Linked DNA regions of Medicago truncatula. The protein of the gene in region 1 binds, or shares a complex with, the protein of each later gene. Links are inferred from orthologs where the notes say so. Each region holds a gene or a part of one and is shown in the gene's direction. Other genes may lie near its edges.

Region 1 (9,781 bases):
TTCATTTGTTTCTTTGTTATAAAAGTTAGTTTTCACTACTTAATTTTTCCATTCACATTTCACCTCTTTTTAATTTTTTCTTCTATACATTTTATTTGCAAATAAACCCCAATCATCGTGATTTTTGGTCAATTTAATGCAAAATTTAGCAATTCTCCATGTATCTCAAGTCAACAAAATGTCTCATCCTTTGAAAATGCATCCAATGTCCTAAATACACAAAATAATCAAGACTTTGAAATTACCCATATCATACATCACCTTATCCCATCAAGAATTTTCTTCTAAATCAAATAATCTCAATATGCCTCATGTGATTCAAATGGGTAGTGGTGGTGTGCAATTAAAAGATCAAGAGCTTGAAATACCACATGTTTGCACTCAAGGTGGCTTTGAAACTATTAACCTTAATAAAGAAATTGAAACTATATCGATTGTGAATAATTCGAAAGTAAGATTTCAACGAAAGGAGGATGGACTTCCCATTCAATTATGACTCAATATTTCAAAGGATCCGAATGTTAAAAATGATCAAAAAGGACAGTTTTTGGAAGAGAATTGATGAAGCTTATAATAACCATCACGACAAGAATTTTCAAGATAGGAAACCAATGAAGCTAAAAGGTTGATGGCACAAAAAGATTAATCCCTCTGTTCAAAAGTTTGTTGGATGCTACAAAGATGTTGTCGCTATAAAAAAAGCGGTAGCTGCAAGATCGACACAATTTCAGCTGCAAATGTTTTTTGTTTGACTTATATTGAAAAAAGAATTCTATATTTACAATACATGAAAAAATATTGCAAAACTACCCTACTTTTTATCTTTTCCATTGTTCCCCGCTAACCTCGCTTGAGTGGTATATTTCCCAGTTGTTTTCACTTGTGGGTATAGCACAACAAGCCTGAAATTTGTTTTTTTTTCTTCTATTTATGGGCCCCTACAAAACTTACTTGCAGGGTGTAGAAGGTTGTTTTTCTTATTTGATCTACTATTGATACTTTCAACAGTGTCACATATTCCGTGTACTACATCCTAATTCATGACAAGTGAGTTTCTAATATCTTCAAGAGGGATGATATATATACCACCCCATGTGACAATACACCTTTTACATCCACACAAAATTCTGACATGCGGCAACTTAAACCCCACACAAATAGAAGATAAAATGTGGTTGTGAGATGAACTTACCAAAATATCTCTAATGCATGGGTGTACAATAGGATATAGGAATAAAGGGTGTTCATGTAACATTTTCCTATCTCCAAATTCAACATAATTACACTGTTCGAAATAACAATTCTTCACACTCTAATAGTAATATCACACTACAGTATCAAACTCTAATAACTCTAAAAAACACACTACAATTTCAAACTCTAATAACTCAATTTAATAACTCGTAACATTAAACTCACAATCGACATATTAATTTATCTATCAACCTTTCACCTGAAAATTTATGCATAAATACCACTTTTTTACTCACAATATTCACTTAAGTTACCGCTCTCAAACTCTTATTTTTACACTCAATATTCTCATATTACCCGTCTTCTCAATTATTTCTTAAACAATGAATTATTTATGGTTAGGAGATAATCATAGGTCTAGGCCACAACACCTTAGATAATGGGTAAAATTATATTTTTAAATCTCTTTTATTTTGTTTTTTATTGTTTTAATAATTTTTTCTATTCTCTTATTTTTTTTAAATTTCGTTTTTGATATTATGTTGCTTATTAAATTCAGTTTTATATTCGGTTAATAATTATGTAATATTTTTTTTATTATGTTTATTTTAACCTTTTTCTTATATGCTCCCTCCGTTTTTGTTATTTTGATGTTTTAGAACTTCAACTATATTCCAAAATATTTAATGTTTTAGTATATGTAATATTTTTTTTTCAAATTTACCCTTGTTGAAAAAGACACCATAAAATTATTAAAGGAGTTGTGACCTTTGATTTATCACATGTGAATTTAATTATAATAAGGACATTTTAGTCCAAAACATACAAATATTTATGTACTTTAATTACTTCTTAAGATTTGTACCAAGAGCTAAAACATCAAAAGATAAAAAATAGAGGGAGTATCTCTTTATTTATTTTTATTAGGATGAAAGCAACAAACATTTCAACTTCTCATCTACAAAAACACAAAGAACCAGTCTACTAATTTTAGGGTGTGTTTGGCCCAGTTTTTTGAAAGTCTAGAAGCTACTTTAAAACTAAAGTTGCTAAAAAAACTTTATAAATTAAGTTAAAGTTGATTGGTAGTATCTATTTGACAAAATTATACAATTTATCTTTTAATTTAATTTCAGTTAACATTTTTGTCCCTTAATTTTTTTATTTAATCATTTATGTTATAAAATATCAACATCACGATCCTTCCTTTATTAAAAAGATTAAAACTAAAAAAAAAAAATCATAAGCAAACTCATATCTTCATCACACAAACCTATAAATCTAGATTTCATTGAAAAATCCTTATAATGAAAAATCAAAGAAAAAAAGAATGAAAAAAGATGAAAATATGTTTATATTGTTGGAATGCTGAGTTGATTATAATGAGAGAATATTTTTTAGGAATTCTAGTTTTCTTTTTGTAAAAAAAGTATAACGATATTGATTTTATAACATTAGGGAAATGAACTGATATATAAAATAAAATTTGCTTGAATAATAGATAAATTGAAGTAAACTTGGACCGTCATAATATTCCTCAAGGCTTAGAAGCCCTCTAGAAGGACTCAAACGCCCTCCGGACGGGCCCAAAGACCCTCCAGAAGGCTCCTTGGGCTTAGGCGCGTCCTCCTGAAGGATGCCGCCTTCTTCAGCTTCTAGAAACCACCCAAAGTACCTAAATACCCATGTTGCTTGGAAACCAAGCAACAAGAGCCCAAGCCCACAGCATGCTATAAATACCACTCTTGAGATCATTCTCAAGGATCGGATAATCAGTCTAAACCCTAGTTTACGATTCTTAACCCTAGAATCTCTTATTGTGCTTTTTGCAAGTACAAAACTATCCCGCAAAAAAAATTGAATAAACTGGGTGATATGTGAGTAATACATATGTAGGGAATTATTAGTAAAATAATAATACAAAATTGTCTTTACCAGGGTTCGAAGATGGAAGCACATGTAAATGAAGCGCATAAGTTGATACAAAGTTCCTTTCAATTCCTTTAATTGAAGCTCCTATAATTAAATTTTTCTTCTTTGAAAATAATTTACTTGTTTTAGGAAGAGCTTCTCCCAAATGTTGTTTGCCCCTACTTCTTCTTTAAAGTAGAAGGGAAGTCAAGAAAAGGCAGGCCAAACAGACTCTTAGACCAAGCAGGTTTTCTCCATGTTAGCAACATAAAAGAGTACAAAATGGATAGACATATCCTAAATGCTCTAGTTGAAAGATGGAGACCCGAAACACACACGTTTCATTTTCCAACGGGTGAATGCACCATCACCTTGGAAGATGTATTCATGTTACTTGGTCTAAATGTTAGTGGATATGTCGTTACAGGTGTAAAATCAATTGAGAGGCCACTGTATGATGATTTTTTGGGATTAAAATTCCATTGCGAAATAAAAAAGAGGGTAAACATGCTATATCAATGTCACATTTAGCACAAAATCTCAATAAAGACCTCATTGCCGATGTGTTGGATAAAATAAAAATACAAGTTACTAGGCGGTATATTCTATGGCTAATCAATGGTTTTTTATTTTCAAATTTATCTGGAATAATGTACATAATTGTTGGTTGGCCATGGTAGTTGATTTTAATGATACAAAACAATATAGATGGGGATTAGTCGTTTTGGCCTATCTTTATCGGGGAATGTGTGAAGCAACAAACCCTAAATTTGTATGCTTAGCTGGCTGTAATTTTCTCCTGCAAGTTTGGGGATATTCAAGGTTGGATTATTTGGCTCCCAAAAACATAAAAGAACTTAGTTTTCCATTTGGAACAAAGTGAGTATATTGTTATTATGTTTTTAGTAGTATTTGTTCACATTTGAGAATGCATAGAGATTACTAAAAGATGAACCCAAGTACATATTTGTCATCTTCTAACCCACAGACACCAACAAGCGAATACAATCCACCATCACGTGAAATTGGTCAAAAATCAGCCAAAAGGAAGGAAAATGAAAAGATTGTGCATATATCTATTCCTAAATTTGATGCTTTGAAAAATGACTTGAACAAAAAATTTGAATTAATGTCAAGGTTTGCGCGTGATTTTGCACGTACTGAGAGTGAAAAAGTTGAGAGAGAGATGAAAATGGTTGATGTAGAGCTACACAAGACTGAGAATGATAGGGAAATGATGAAGATCATGATTTAACAATACTCTAAAAGGATGTATCAAATAGGAATACAAGGTAATTACAAGATTATGAATTTTTGTGTGGCATGATTAGACATAAATATGAACTTAATTGATATTATTATTTATGTTAGACTTAATCGATTAGAGGGATATTATAATTTTTAGTATATGATTAGCAATTTCTATGTATGTTGTACTTAATTATTATTTATGTTTTATTAATTTATATTTTTATAGTTTTAGTATATGAAATATAAAAAAAGCTTCAAGAAATATGAGCAGCATATTGCAGTCAATGTGTAAGACTAATTATAGTATACGCAGGAACGAAATAAAATGAAATATTGCAACCAATTAAAGTATAAACCATATTATAGTATTTGAGACGTGTATTGTATATAAACCCTATTACACTATTTAAAATCATGAATTTTAGTTGAACTAGCTGTTATTCAAACTCAATTTTAGTCAAACTAGCAGTTACAAACTAACCGTTACTCAAAATAGCCGTTATTCAAACTAGCAGTTATTCATATCCCTATACATGTTATAACATATATAACAAACTTCACAATCGTTTCCAATTTCATTCCCTTAAAAAAAACATTTTCAACTTCTCTCTTTATTCACATTCAATATCAAACTTCTCTTCATATGGATCCTTCCAATCCATCCCATGTTGCAAAAATATTCATGGATTATATGAATGACAACATGGATGAAGACCTTGTGAGGATTTACTTTGAAAGTAATACACAAGAAGAGTTTGTGAGCTCAAGTAGGTCCAGACGCCAAAGAAGAAACATAGAAATCATGAAGAAGGACATGAACAGTTATTCAATGATTATTTTTTAGAAGCTCTAGTTTACACGGATGAGCAATTTCGTCGAAGGTACCGAATGCGTAAACATGTTTTCCTTCACATAGTTGAAACTCTTGATCAACATGATGAGTATTTTCAGCTGAGGGTTGACGCACCGGGTAGATCAAATATTTCACCCATAAAAAAATGCACTGATGTTATTTGTATGTTGGCAGATGAAACATCTGCTGATAGTGTGGATGACTATTTGAGAAATGGTGAAACCACGACACGAAAATGTGCTGATAAGTTTACAAGGGGAAAACCGTCTCAATGCTGCAAAGAGAAAAGAGAATATTGTTTGCCCAATATCAAGAAGGCTCAAGGAAGGATATCTACACAGACTCACCATTGGATTAGAACAATTAAGTTTGAATCTGATAAAAAAACTAGGCAGGAGACAAGGGCATAGTGAGAGTAACATCCAAAAATTGCTTCTCTTCCCTCTTTCTTCGCACATGAACGAAGTAGAAAAAATAGGTGGGACCCATAGTACTTTTATCTCTCTCCCTAATTTCTCTTTTGCACCAAATGAGAGAAAAATCATTCTTCTCTCCTTATTCTCTCTTGCCTATTTCATACCTACCAAACAGACCATTACTGTTTCATGTTTTTGCAGTATTAAACCTTCAAAAAAAAAAAAAAAAGTTTTTGCAGTATTAAGAAATGAAACGACAAAGTAGTGAAGTCGTTTAATCAACTTCCACTGACTAGACATTCTAACAAAGAGTCCCCACCCACCCCCCAACCGTGCTTGCTGCTCACATCTCCGCGCGAACTCAAACTGAAACCCAATTCTACCGATCGCACCTCATCATGGACAGCAAAAACGTCGTCGTTTGCGACAACGGAACCGGAGTACCTCTCTCTCTCTCTCTCTCTTCAATCTCTTCATTCATTTCAAAATCAAACTACATTTCAATGGATCCAATAAATTACCGATCTCAAATTAGCATCAAACTTTATACATTTCATTATTTAACACTTTATGTTTCTTCTACTTATAATGTAATTGTTTTATTTATTTAATTCATCATTTATTTTGTGTTTCTATTTAAAATTTCAGTATGTGAAGTGTGGTTTTGCTGGTGAGAATTTCCCGACTTCTGTTTTTCCTTGTGTGGTGGGGAGGCCAATGCTCCGATACGAAGAATCGCTTACCGAGCAAGAGCTAAAGGTATGCAAAACATGATTACTAAGTTTTTTCAATTATGATATGTATGTAACTTGTTTGATCTATGAGATCAAATGTGGTTGTTATTATTATTATTATGAATTTCAATGTTCTTAGTTATTAGTGATTTTCCATTCCTAGTTGTTGAGAGTCACACATTGATTAGAGGTAGTGGTTATAAACCATTTTTGTGGGATGAGTTAGACACTATTTGGATTGACTTATTTGAGCTTATCTACTGATATAAGTTTTCTGAGACTGTTTGGGAGAATTTACGAAGGAGACTGTAGATACTGTAGTTACAAGAGTAGATCAGAAGAGGTTGAGGAAGACCTAGGAAAACTATAAGAGAAACTTTTAGGAAAAATTTAGAGGTTAATGAGTTGGATCCAAATATGGTTTATGATACAACATTATGGCGTAATTTGATCCATGTAGCTGACCCCACTTAGTGGGATAAGGCTTCGTTGTTGTTGTTGTTTGGGAAAATTTATGAAAACAACTTATGACAATTTTCCCAAGTTCTCATATGTTGCTTATTAAAACAACTTATAGCATATAAAAAAGAATTTAACATCATTTTATTTTTTTCTATAAAAGTAGCTTATGCAAGCTTATACATAAGCGATTATCATGATAAATGTTTGCGCTATAAGCTGCAAATAAGCTGTTTATCCAAACAGGCCCTAAGCCTAAACTGTAAGATGATATAAGAGCTTATTCCAGATTTGTTGTTGGTCCAAGATCTCTGTATAGAAGAAGATTATTATTTTTATTGAATAACAATAGAATGACAATAAAATAAAAAAGATTTATTTTTATTCATAATAGGATCCCAACAAAAGCGAACCTCGCACATAGGCAAGTTTTACCACCGGAGAGCTCTTTACACTGTGTGATGGGGTGCTAGAGTCGGCCAGCCATTTGTTCCTACATTGTTCTTTTGCGATGAAAGTGTGGGATGAAGTTAAGAGATGGCTGGGTTTTCATTATGCGACTCCACCTAATTTATTCTTTCTTTGGGATTGTTGGGATAGAGTTTCGACCAACAAAAATATCCGGAAAGGTTTGAGGATGATTTGACATGCGGGGGTGTGGAGTATTTGGAGGGCCCGAAACGACATAATTTTCAACAACTCGATTGGTGAAGTGGAGGAGGTAATGAAGGATGTAAAGGTTCTGTCGTGGAGATGGTGTTTAAGTCGGTTGCAAGGGCCGGCGTGGTTGTTCTATGAGTGGCACTGGAATCCAAAAGCATGTCTGCTGCGTTAGGGGCGCTGTGTTTTCGAGGCTGAGGCTGTGGTATGCGGTGCCTGCGGTTAGGTTGCTGTCAGTAATGGATATAACAGCATAAGCTTTGTTGGGATGCAGCATGTTTTCGGCTGCTGTCATTTGTTTTAGCAAGACTAGGTTTTTTGGGCTGATATTGGTGCTGTGTTTTTGGGGTTTTCCGGTATGTCGGTGACCTTGTATTATTGTTTTTCTGTCCGCGAGTTTGTTGTGCATCTTGTACACTCTCGACGTGAATAAATTTTGCTGATTCTAAATAAAAAAAACTCGTAGGGTGTGAAGTAGGAGGAAGAGTAACTTATACCATCAATGACAATGTTAAAGAGTGAGAAGAAGAATCACAGAGAGAGAATTGGGATAGAAAAGGAGTGAATTCACTTCATAAATCATCCATTCCTTGGTTTCACATTCCCCTCTCAATTCAAACAATCTCTCAGCCATGAGTTTAGCTTTGCCTTTGCCCACCTCTCACCTCCTAATTTTCATGACTTCCTCTAGCCTAATTTTGATTCCTTGTAATTGCCTTGCTGTCGATTTCCTTCAGCTATCGATCCACCATTCTCTAATCGACTTGCCTTTGCTGGCAGTTTCATTGCACTATGTTATTCTACGTGCATTTGTCCACATTTCAAATGTCGGTTTTTGGGGTTTAGTTAAATCCTAATTTCAAATTCTAAGATGATATTAGAGTCTAATTCATATCTTTTATTAGGCCAAGAATTTTCCACTTGCACACAGTATTGTTAAATGGCAGCATGGCGGAATGGCGTGGTGGAATTTTTGAAAACTGCCATGGATAGTTTGCGCAGGAATGCCCACCACAGGCCAACTGCTTGCTTATGTGGCGAACTTTTGGCCTTTCGTTTATTCCATTATCCGCCATCGAAAACACTGCCTGCAATTTTCCATGCTCCAAATGTCGATTTGTGGGCGTGAGAATGTAATAGAAATCTACAAGTGGAAATGAACAATGGGAAAGTATTTGAAGGGAATTGATTGTATTTTATTGATTGAAATGATGAACTCAGTTAAAAATAAGTATCCCTAAACTGCCAAGAGCAATGCTCCTTACAGAGTGATTCTCTCTGTCCAATATAAAATGTAACTCATTCTTTCGATACCCTTCTTACTCCCTACTGCTCCCATGTATTCGGAACTACCAGCACCTCATGCTCATGCGCTTGACAATTCTGTTACACAAGTTTCCAGCTCAGCTTTTCCATTTTCTCTCTTATTCTTCCTCTAATAGACCCTCCACACAGTCGGCCTCACATTTGGGCCTGCAGATAAATGCACTTCCGTATCAGAACGTATCCCCATTATTCCACCCACAGTAATCCACACTTTAGAATTCAAATGTCCATTTCTAAACTTAAGGGAGTGTGTTGAAAATATCGCCTATAGATATGTCCTAGGTAGTGTTTATAATGCTTTGCTTAGGTTGTTTTTGTCTTACTAGTCAGTTTTGCATTGTTGAATTAGGCCTTAAGCCTAGACATCATAAACAATTACATATACACTTAATTACCCGTTTTTAAGATGTTGCTCGGGTCTCTGTGAGATTTATTATTTATTTACTATTTAAATTATGTTCTATTTAGGATATTGTTGTTGGCGAAGGATGTGCAGACCTGCGGCATCAGCTTGATATATCTTATCCTGTGAACAATGGAATCGTCCAAAACTGGGATGACATGTGTCATGTGTGGGATCATGCATTTTACAACGAATTAAAAGTAACCTTCTGGTGCTTCTTTCTCATTGCTCTTTCAACTGTGAATATTTGATTTCGTAGCTAACTCTGGTACACGATTTTTCTTGACAGATTAACCCACAAGACTGTAAGATTCTACTCACTGATCCGCCTCTTAATCCCTCAAAGAATCGCGAAAAAATGGTTTGTGGGCCAATCTTGTTACCTTTTGCTAATTTGTTTTTTGCATAGTAATTGTTTATGTGATTTGACCTGGCAGGTGGAGACAATGTTTGAGAAGTACAACTTTGCTGGAGTGTTTATCCAAATCCAAGCTGTTCTAACATTATATGCTCAAGGTGCTTATAGAGATGAGTGAAGGTTGATGTTTTGTTGTTTATTCACCTCATCCTAATT
Region 2 (10,186 bases), on another chromosome or scaffold:
TGTGTGAAGGACTAAACACTAAAGGTTGTTGAGTAACATTAATGTATATATTCCACAGCAGTAGTGTCAATGGATTCTATTTCAATTCAACTTACAACTGCATTGTGCCAAATGCCTGCAGAATATATGCGGAGGGCAGTCAAATGTTCTGAAGCTTGCAGCAAATCATCATTGAAGGCAACCAGGGCACCAGGAAACAGAACTGCGATGAAGATGGCGATGTACTCTATTTGTATTCCCTCACTGCTTTCCATTGAAAAGGTGCAATAGCATAAGGCATGAGAATCTAGCTTTTGACATTTCAAGCAAAACTAAATTTGATATTCTTGGTATCTGCATAATCACAGAGTAAATAAAAGAACAATAAAAAGTCTACTGCTGAAATGATCATTGGAAATACACCCCTGTTGTTTTTAAATAACATGCTGCAATATTGATGTTGAAATATGTTTAAAAATGCTATGAGCCTGGGGCACCTAGAATCTACTCATAAAAGGAGAGAATAAAGGGATTCTATTTGTATTGATCCCTTATTTTTATCAAGGTACATATATGGGAGTATTTAATGCAACTCACTCAAATCCATGAAACTTGTTTCTCATAAGTTATGCTTATTTTCTCTATTAAGGTTTCTAATAGAGTTAGGAATGAGTCTCAGTTCGTTTAAACCCTATCCTCGACAGCTTCTGCGCAAGGAGCACATAAAAACAGCGGAGAGGAACAACTGCAGCAGTCATTCGAGTCTTCAGAAGTACCAACAGTAGCAAAAGAGGGGTCAGAGGAGGGTCGTGTGCTACTCAGGCACGAGATGGAAAAGGATGTGTCACGTGGGTGCCGGTGGGCTCACGTGCAGTCGAAAGAAACGGTGAAGAATGAAAAGTAAGACTTTTAGCAAACCAGGTCGTGAAATCTGACCTGGAACAGGTCTGACAAGTATTGCCATGGATCACCCAATCCCACGTTTTTACCATCATACTCACTTTCCCACCCTGGTGATCCCGACGACAACATTACTTGGTGAAAGAATATATAAATAGACATGCTTGGTGAGAGAACATGTCTTTCTTAGTGAATCTTACTTTTCAAACTCATGAAACTCTCCCCTAAACCTATGTTGAGTTCACCAATTTATTAGTAGTTTAGTAAATGTTAAAATTAAATGAATTTATTCCCACTTGTTCATCTACAACATGAATCTGCTTCAACTACAGATTAAATTATGGAAAAGGAATCCTATTGATGCGACATTCGGTAGGAAATTTATCAACAAAGAATGCATTCAGTATGAAGCATGTCTACTCACACATTCTCTCATAAAAAATAACCAATTCATCTGAATGGTTCTTCCAACAATAGTCTGTGATATCACTCAATTTTAATAAATGCAACCTACATAGCACCAACACTTCATGTCGAATGTGTGTCCAGTGTCCAACGCATGTGATTACATTCAATTACTTCCATTTTTTTTTTAAATTATTATCAGTATTAAAGTGTCAGTGTCGTGTTCAGTGTCAGTGCTGCATAGAACGCAACAAAGAATAAAAAAATAGACCTAGTAGCGGCGAGTGCATGACCAAATTCATGCACAAAAACAGACACAATAGTAGAAACACAAATACATCCAGCATCAGCAAGTGATAAGCTCAAACCCGACAACAAATTCGGAAACCCAAACAGCATTTCACTAGCAATACTTCGAACTTTATTACTTTCTCCACATATATTCAAAGCCGTTGCAACCTCCCAAACCAAAATCTAAAACAAAAAACAACAAATCAAATCAAATTGAATAAAAACAAAATAAATTACCAATTACAAACTGATAAAAATTGTTACCAGCGTAACAGCGAGCATAGCAGAAAGTGCGAAACCAAGGCCAATAGAAAACCAGAGTTTAAAAAAGTTGGCATGTTTGCGACCGAATGTGTAGAGAGGTTTATTGAAAGAGATGAATTTGTAATCGCAATAGAAGAAGGAAATAGTGTTGGAGAGATGAGAGGAGGAAGAAGAAGGAGCGTGAAGAGGGAGAAGAGTTCTGCTGTTGGGTTTTTGATGGCTCACGAATCTTCGCATTCGTCTCGTTTCCATCAGGTACAAAATTGTTGTTCCTCCACCACTACGGCGGCACTTTTATCGGTCAAGGGCAAAGTAGTCATTTCTTTTCAATAATTAAATTTATCAAAGCCTAACTGACGAATTATCTAAGATGCAAATTGCCTAAACGAAGTGATGGTGTTTTATTGATGTTGGTGATGTGAATATTAAGATGATGTTAAATTATTTATGGGAGTAAATGTTGATGATGAAATGATTTGTTTGTGTATGGATCATGCATTGTCGAGTTTACATTATCATCATTGTCATTCCTATTTAATGATGGATATTTGATGACGGGTGGATTAATTTGTAATATACCTCCAATTATTTAATGATGGTGGATCGCTCGGTGACATAACTCCGACCTCCAAAACTTGGTACCACATGCATGTAGAGTCAAACTAGAACATTGCATACATATGAACCTATGTGAGACGTGAATTGATTATGAGAATCTATGTGAAGATGTGTACATGACTATGTGTGTTCATGTGGCGTTTGATAAAAGTTCTTTAGATGTTAATTTTGATGCAACTTGTTAGCATATTAAATGATACTTTACTAATGTCAAGTTTTGTAAACATGATCTATATGATAATAATTAATAACTTTCAATACAACGATGAATCTTCTGATAATTATGCGTAAAAAAAATTCAAAAGTGTTGTATATTAAGTTTGACATCAAGAAGCCAATTATCCATATATGTAAATCAAAGATTTGTCATCTGCAAGTAAAATTGGTCTTCTTATATCAAATTAAAATTGAGAGGAAGTTTGTACCAAAAGAAAGTAAATAAGAGAGCTTATATCATTACTATGAAGTATCTTTAGCCTAGTATTTGATCTTCGTGCGCTGGTGACGAAAAAAACGTCGTGCTCTTTAGAGCTATCAAAATGGGTCGGGTCGAATGGGCCGGCCCAAAAGCCCGAATAAAACGTAGGACTTGGACCTAAAAATTGCAGCCCGAATAAATTCAGGATTTTTTAGCCCGGTCCGAAAAAGCTGGTTGCCCATTTAGGCTACGGGCAGCCTGGGAAAAAGAAAAAGTTAAACTATATGGGAGACTACAGAAGTTGCCATAGTGGACGTTAGAGCTTCAAATCCTGTTGTTTTGAAAATATCATTCAAAGATCAAGAAGTTAGAAATCATATTTATCATTCGCAGTGGAAAAAAGGCTTGCTTTTTCTTTCTTAAATTTATTCATGGTATTGATATTTATTGTTTTCTATTTTTATAGACATTAAATATTTAGTGTTAAGTCGTCAAAATATAAGATTTATCCTCTAAAAAAAAAATACAAGTTTTATTTTTCTTCTGTTATATGCTTTATTATTTCAACTCAACATCGCCAATTATGAGTTGTGAAAACAACTGCTGATCATAATACGATGAATATCTTCATCTGATATCTAAGTTTTTTTTGAGTGATTGAGTTTCATTAATTATATAGCTATGTTAATATGCTATGTGTGATTATAAACTGTGTAATTATGTGCATATAGCTATGCAATCTGATCATGTTTTTTTAACTTGTGCAAGTTCGGTTAGTAATTAGGATCATTAAAAGATTTTTTTTTTAAAAAATGTGCGTGCGGGCTGACCCGAGAACCCGTATAGGGCCGGGCTCGGGCTCTATTATTACAACCTGTATTTAAACCAGGATTTTTAACCCGACCCTAAAAATCCTGCAGTCCGTTCGGCCCGAAACGGCCGGGTAGCCCATTTTGACTCGTTGCTTAGTCATAAATTTGAATGGATGTCTTATAGTAGTTTATAATTAAAAAATATCTTTTGATAATTGTTATTTCTATTCAAGTTTATAGCGGTTTGTGATAAGTTAATTCAAATGACTTATAACTTAATAATAAACTACTATAGTTACCTCAATAATATGAAAAAACCAATAATTAACCACAATAATTAACCACTTGTTATCCAATAACTAATAACTATCAATGATTTCAATTTGTTACTAACAAAAATAACACAAATTTGATTTCAATTTGTTTCTAACAAAAATAACACAAATTTATATATATATATATATATATATATATATATATGTAGTAGATTACATATTTTACCCTTAAGCACTTGTAAAAAACAACTGTAAAATTTTAGTGGGTTATGGGCAGTTTAAACTTTTAGCAAGACATTTGTTTTTATATATAGATTTATAGAGTAGATTAAGTGTTAAAAATAATAAAATTTTAAATCATAAAAATTATATTAAATCTATCTAGTTATATAAAAAATAAAAGATAAGTCTTTGTTCACGACAAAATAAATCTATCTAGTTATATAAAAAATAAATTACGAAAATAAAAATACAAAAGCACTGCAAAAACAAACAAAAACAGGTAAATAATAGCACACTAAGTTTTTCTTCACTTTTAAAGGATTTTACTCGGATCAAAATCTATGACCGTTAAATTTTTTATCGACTGTTGTCATTACTGTTTACATTTGGACGTGGATCGCAATCTTATACTATCCAAATTGCTTGTTATCGACGACTGAGAAGACTTCTCATTTTACGCACGCGCGAGTATCAATTATTTCACACAAAAACATAACTAACATTGAAGCCACATGCTCTTCAACCGGAATAGCATGCCAGACAATTGAAAACAATAACAAGAAGAATTTCAACGATGTGAGTTGTTCATTTATGTTATAAAACCTTTTTTAAATATTTATCATATTGTTTTATTTGATATTATTTACATTTACGACGCAACTTCAAACCTGCAAATGACTTGCAAGGTTATTCAAAAATACTAATTGAGTGATGACTTTTCTATTATAAGATTGATGCAAGAGTTGAATTACACCAAATACTTGAAAAATGTGGCTCTACCGTTTATCGGTTTTCTACTCCTCAATTATGAATGTTCAAGGATGTGGCTGGAACTGTTGTGCTAATAATTTTGAAGGTAAAGTTTGAACAAAAGTTGGGTATGTTTTGTAACATGTCAAACTTGCAGCAAGTCCATAAACATTCCACTAGCATGTATGTTTGTGATTTTTTTTATAAACATTTATCTTATTATCTTGTTTGATATTATTTACTAATGGTGCTGCTTCAAACCTGGAAAGGTTATACAAAAATACCACTTGAGTGATTTCATTTCTATTATAAGAATCATGTGTAAAGAGTTGAACTAGATCGTAATTTTTGACGAGGGACAGATTTATTATGAATTTTTATTTCCTTATGAATTTTTTATAATTAATTCGTATCTCGTTTAAAAACTCTAAAAATTCACGAGGAAAGTTCTTATGATGTTATATACATGCTTAGAAAATTAGAGAAAGAAATTTGACCCGTGAGTATACATTTACTCATAACAAAATTGCAATTTCGCACGTTTTGGTTGAAAAATAAAAAAATTAAACATCTTTGAAATGCTACAAAATTTTGCAAATTCTTTTTATGTATTTCTTTAGATGTCTCTGCAAACAATCAATTTAAAATTCAATTTTTAGGTCGGAGTTTTCATCATTTTGTTCTTTGAGTTTTTGACGCTTTATAAATTCATAATTAATTTGTCATTAGTTGAAAAATTCTAAATTTTTGTGTAATGCATATTTCTTTGTTGTAAACATGCCTACAAAAATTATGAAAAAATTCAACCTCTGAGTAGCATTTTTGGACTTCACATATAGTACGTGGTGAATTTCAATAATTAATCTTATTAATAATAAATATAATAATAAAAAATAGAATGAAAAGAAACAAAATATGGTGATGTGATTATTATGATTGAGAAAAATGAATGAATGAAAATCTGTAAGTGGAAGAAAAGAATCGGTCTGGATCTGAGTGAGTGTAATAATACACATAATCATAATCATCATCATCATCAAAAACTGTTGAAACGAAACACGAGAAGAGAAGAGAAGAGAAGAAAGCGGAAAGGGTCAGGATCATCGATGATACTCCTCCAGTCCCATTCTAGATTTCTGCTTCAGACTCTTTTGAATCGCCTTCAAAAGTTAGTTACTAAAACGCATGCGTTTTCATTTCGCTACTCCTTCATTTCAACTGCGTTAATATCTTCTGTTTCTGTTTCTGTTTCTGTTTCAGTATCGAAAAAGGTGTTGAACTCGATCACCACTGGGTTGAATTTGACGATGTCAGATATCACATTCAGGTACTAACAATGTTTGTTAACACGATTATTATTACTATTATCATAAACGCCGTATAGTCAATGTTGTTGAACACCTGCTACACTTATCATGATAAGCGCTTATTTATGTTTATGATATGAACTTGTTTCCATAAACAATTTATTTTGAAGCTTATATAACAAACACTTATAAGCTCTTTCTATAATAGAAGATAAAATTAAGTTAGTTATATTGTTTTAGTATAAACTGTAAGTTGTTTTCATAAGCTATCTTGGAGACAACAGCTTATGAACATGTCACGAGTTTGTTTCCCTTAGTTCTCCTAAATGCATATACTAGTAGATAAACTCAAACAAGTCGATTCAAACATATCATAAATAGTCTATCTCATTAAATAGCGATTTGTTCAAATCCCATTAAGCTCCCTTTTTGAAATGAAAACAGCTTATGGACTTGTCAAAAATTGTTTCCATAAACTCTACCAAACAGTCTCACAATTGAAACATGCCCAAAATGTTGTCAAATAGAGGCGCTATAGAGGAATTTGAATAAACCCCTATTTTATGCGATCCACGATTGACAAACACTGAGTAATGTAGATAATTTGAGTTTGACACTTTTGGGTTGCATATTTGATCAAGCTAAAAAATAATTGTAGGTGTCAATGAAGAATCCTAATATTTTCTTGCTATCTGTATCGTTGCCTACTCCATCTTCGGAAACTATTTTTGTATGTGGACTTCCTTTTGGAGCCATTGAAGCAATCAAAGCTGCATATGGCAGTCTTGTGCAAATTCTTGATCCTCCAAGGGATGGCTTTAACCTCACATTGAAGATAAATCTCTCAAAGGTTCCTGCAAATCAAGGTATATCAGGGTTTTTAGTATAGGATGTTACCGTAACTTTGAATTTCCCTTGCTATGAAAAGTTTTTTCGTCTTTAGCTGAACTTATAGCTTCTGTATTTTCTAATGCATTAAAACTACCGATTAGTAATGCATTTTCATTGCTACAGTATATTCTTTCCACTGTTTTGGTTTCAGGGATTTACATTTGCTATAGATATTAGATAGTATTTCAATATAAATTGATAATTGAAGCACTAAGTTGATATTCTCAATTTTGCATATATGATTTACATGTGCTTTGGATTGTCAATATCTGAGCTTTTTTCTGTTTTAGTTCATAGTAATATTATTTGATGTGTAACCCAGAGATGGATAATGGTTCTTAATTGAAATTGCAGTAGAGATTAATAACTATGTTCAAGTTTCTGTAGTTTCGTTTACATGAAATAAAAGATAGCATTTTTATTCTCAATCAATTTAACTTTTTATCTCTCCAGAGTTTTCTTAACGTTTCTCAGTAAGTAGACCATTTTCCACTTGGTTTGCCTCTTAGTCCCATGGTTCTGCATCTGGTCCAGTAGAACTTCTATTTGAACCAACCACCATTAAAGGAGTCATTGGTCAGTTGAGAAATTGAAAGTCAGCAAATTTCTCATGCCCTACAATGCACCAATTCCTCTGTTGGCATTTGGTGTTCTTGCGTCGCTTGCCTTGAACCCATTCACCGTGAAACCAGTATCATTCTACATGATGGATTGTCCTGCTTTCGTTCCAGCAGTCATCTGTCTCCATCTCCCATTCCTTTTAAGGCATTTGTTCTCTCAGTGAATGCCCTGGTTTATTAAGATGGATTTTGAACCTACTTCCCAAAATTCTTTGAGAAGTCAGAAACCTACATACGGTTTTTCTTTCTCTATTTGTGGAACCCTAACTACTGTAGAAAAGCCAAATGGAAATAACTATTTAGCTTGCTCTTCTTCCCTGTAACTCTGGTTTCTTGGCCAAGGTTTCTATGATTACTCGGAGAGAAAAATCTTAATGAGACTTTTGTTGAAAATCATAGTTTGTGGGATAAACTTGTTTATGAACTCTGTGCTTTGTGTGATGATCTCTTGAACCAAATATTTTTGGCAAATTTCAAAACTTTTAATACTTATCATACTTTTTTTCAAGAAGACTCGACATGTTTTGCTAATAAATCTAAATGCCCAAATTTTTCTTTTCTTCTGGAAACTGTGTTTTTTCATTCTGGTTCGTCACTCCATCTTTGGTTTTATTTAAGAAAGAGAAATTTATAAGTTAAATTATTTTGTTGTTGATGCTGTTCTTTGACAATTGGCGATGTTGATCTTGTGCAGAGCAAAGACAAGCACTTTTGGTAAAAGTAGCATCAGTAAGGGAGGTCGTCCTTGGTGCACCACTAAGGGTAATTTTAAAACACCTTGCTTCTAGAAATGTTGCTCCGGATATGGATCCACTTGTTGCTCTTGTTCATCGACCAAAGGAGTCTTTTTTTGTTTTTCCTCAGGTATGATAGTTGAATATGCAACTTTCTGTTACTGAAACCTTCATCCTTGCTTGGGGTATTTTATTCATATTGTTTTTTGTACTCAAAGAAGTAGTTCAGTAATCCATAACAATCCTAGATGCATGGGTGACTTCCTTTTAGCTTTAATATTGTTCCTTGTCAACTTTTATTTATACAAAATATAAGGGAACTTTAATAACAGAGAGGAGGTTCTATAGAAAAAACAGAATCTAAGAAAGAAAGAGATACCGGAGAGAGAAGTTAATGGAGTTTACAGAAAACCCTGCTGGACAGACCGGTTATGAACATTAACATCGTAACTGAATGGGAAAAACACATTTTTATTACAAAAAATGTTCCCAGGCCTTTAGTACCAAAAGCTCAAACCGTGGGCGTACCGGTTATGGGTGTAAGGATAGGAGAGCTGGAAAAATGGCTGAGAACAGTTAGGTAGTTTGTTTGCTAGATATCCTTCATCTATTGTATTATTCTTTGTTCTCCTGGAAGTTGCATATAAGGATTACTTTAGCCATATCTCTTGATGTGAGATCTCAACACACCCACCTTATGCCCAACATTGGACATTTGGAGTGAAGCTTGTAGGATTATACATTTGCAGGTGACCAATAATAGATTTGGAGGTGCAATTGTTCATAGTTTGGAAAATTAGGAATAATACAGTGGAATCTTATTTCTGGGTATTTTATAAAAAATGTGTTTGGTTTAAATCTTACATTACTTGGAATTTTTGTAAGAGTTGGATATGTTGACATCAAGTTTACTCCCATCTTCATGGGAACTTTGGGAATAGAAGCATAGGAAAGTGTGGTAGTCATTTTATTCCTCAGAATGTTTTATAGCTGGGAATAAGTATTATAACTTTGTAACAAACAGTGGAATCTATATTTCTAACTTCCACATTTCCAGGAATAAATTTCACAACCATGAAACAAACACCCCCACGATAGATTGTCCACTATCTAGGATTTGGGCTAGGTCTAACTCAATTTCAAAAAAGCTAGCCTCTGTTTTTTTGTCCTAGTCATGCTCTTATTGTGCTTCCCAAATCCTGGTAAGTGACGTGGCAAACTTTTCTCAAAGTTTGCAGGACATAACCAACTTATAGAACTTAAATTAATGAAACATTTCAGCCTATAACCTTATAATAAGTAACAAAAGATTTTGCAATGGACATGTGCTTTACATCAAATAGAATAAAATGCCTAATCTTACCCCACATGGGCTGTTATGCCAAAGAAACCTCAATCAACTAAGCATGTAGTATACAAATTAAGAAAGACAGGTCTATTTATGTAGTCTCTAAACCTGCGACAATAGATGCTTTTCGTTGGGAAATAAAGAGAAGTGGAAAATAACAAAACAAAGAATTCTTTTAATTGAAATTGTACAAATTTTGTTCGCTTGTTTTGATTCTATTGCGTTTCAAAGTTTATGTTTTGTCACACTGCCTGAGAAGATCGACGTTTGAGACGTTAGTTGGCCCATTTAAGTTATTTGATACCAAAGCATCCCTTAGGGTTAGTTGATGAAATAGTTTTGTTTTTGACAG

Evidence for each region.
Region 2: actin-related protein 2 (region 1) and actin-related protein 2/3 complex subunit 2A share a complex: the UniProt entries of both Arabidopsis thaliana proteins name them as parts of the arp2/3 complex. The link is inferred for Medicago truncatula from reciprocal best matches to the Arabidopsis thaliana genes ARP2 and DIS2.

What each region holds. Positions count from the first base shown.
Region 1 is NC_053048.1:9,627,924-9,637,704, reverse strand, and holds the start of actin-related protein 2, read left to right. Parts: upstream 1-5,897; 5' UTR 5,898-6,023; coding exon 6,024-6,065; intron 6,066-6,273; coding exon 6,274-6,384; intron 6,385-9,272; coding exon 9,273-9,407; intron 9,408-9,496; coding exon 9,497-9,568; intron 9,569-9,644; coding exon 9,645-9,723; intron 9,724-9,781. UniProt on the Arabidopsis thaliana protein: Functions as ATP-binding component of the Arp2/3 complex which is involved in regulation of actin polymerization and together with an activating nucleation-promoting factor (NPF) mediates the formation of branched actin networks.
Region 2 is NC_053049.1:32,346,255-32,356,440, reverse strand, and holds the start of actin-related protein 2/3 complex subunit 2A, read left to right. Parts: upstream 1-5,866; 5' UTR 5,867-5,887; coding exon 5,888-6,102; intron 6,103-6,194; coding exon 6,195-6,261; intron 6,262-6,899; coding exon 6,900-7,107; intron 7,108-8,446; coding exon 8,447-8,616; intron 8,617-10,186. Other genes in the region: membrane-bound transcription factor site-2 protease homolog, read right to left, coding at 96-243, 1,556-1,758, 1,840-2,091. UniProt on the Arabidopsis thaliana protein: Functions as actin-binding component of the Arp2/3 complex which is involved in regulation of actin polymerization and together with an activating nucleation-promoting factor (NPF) mediates the formation of branched actin networks.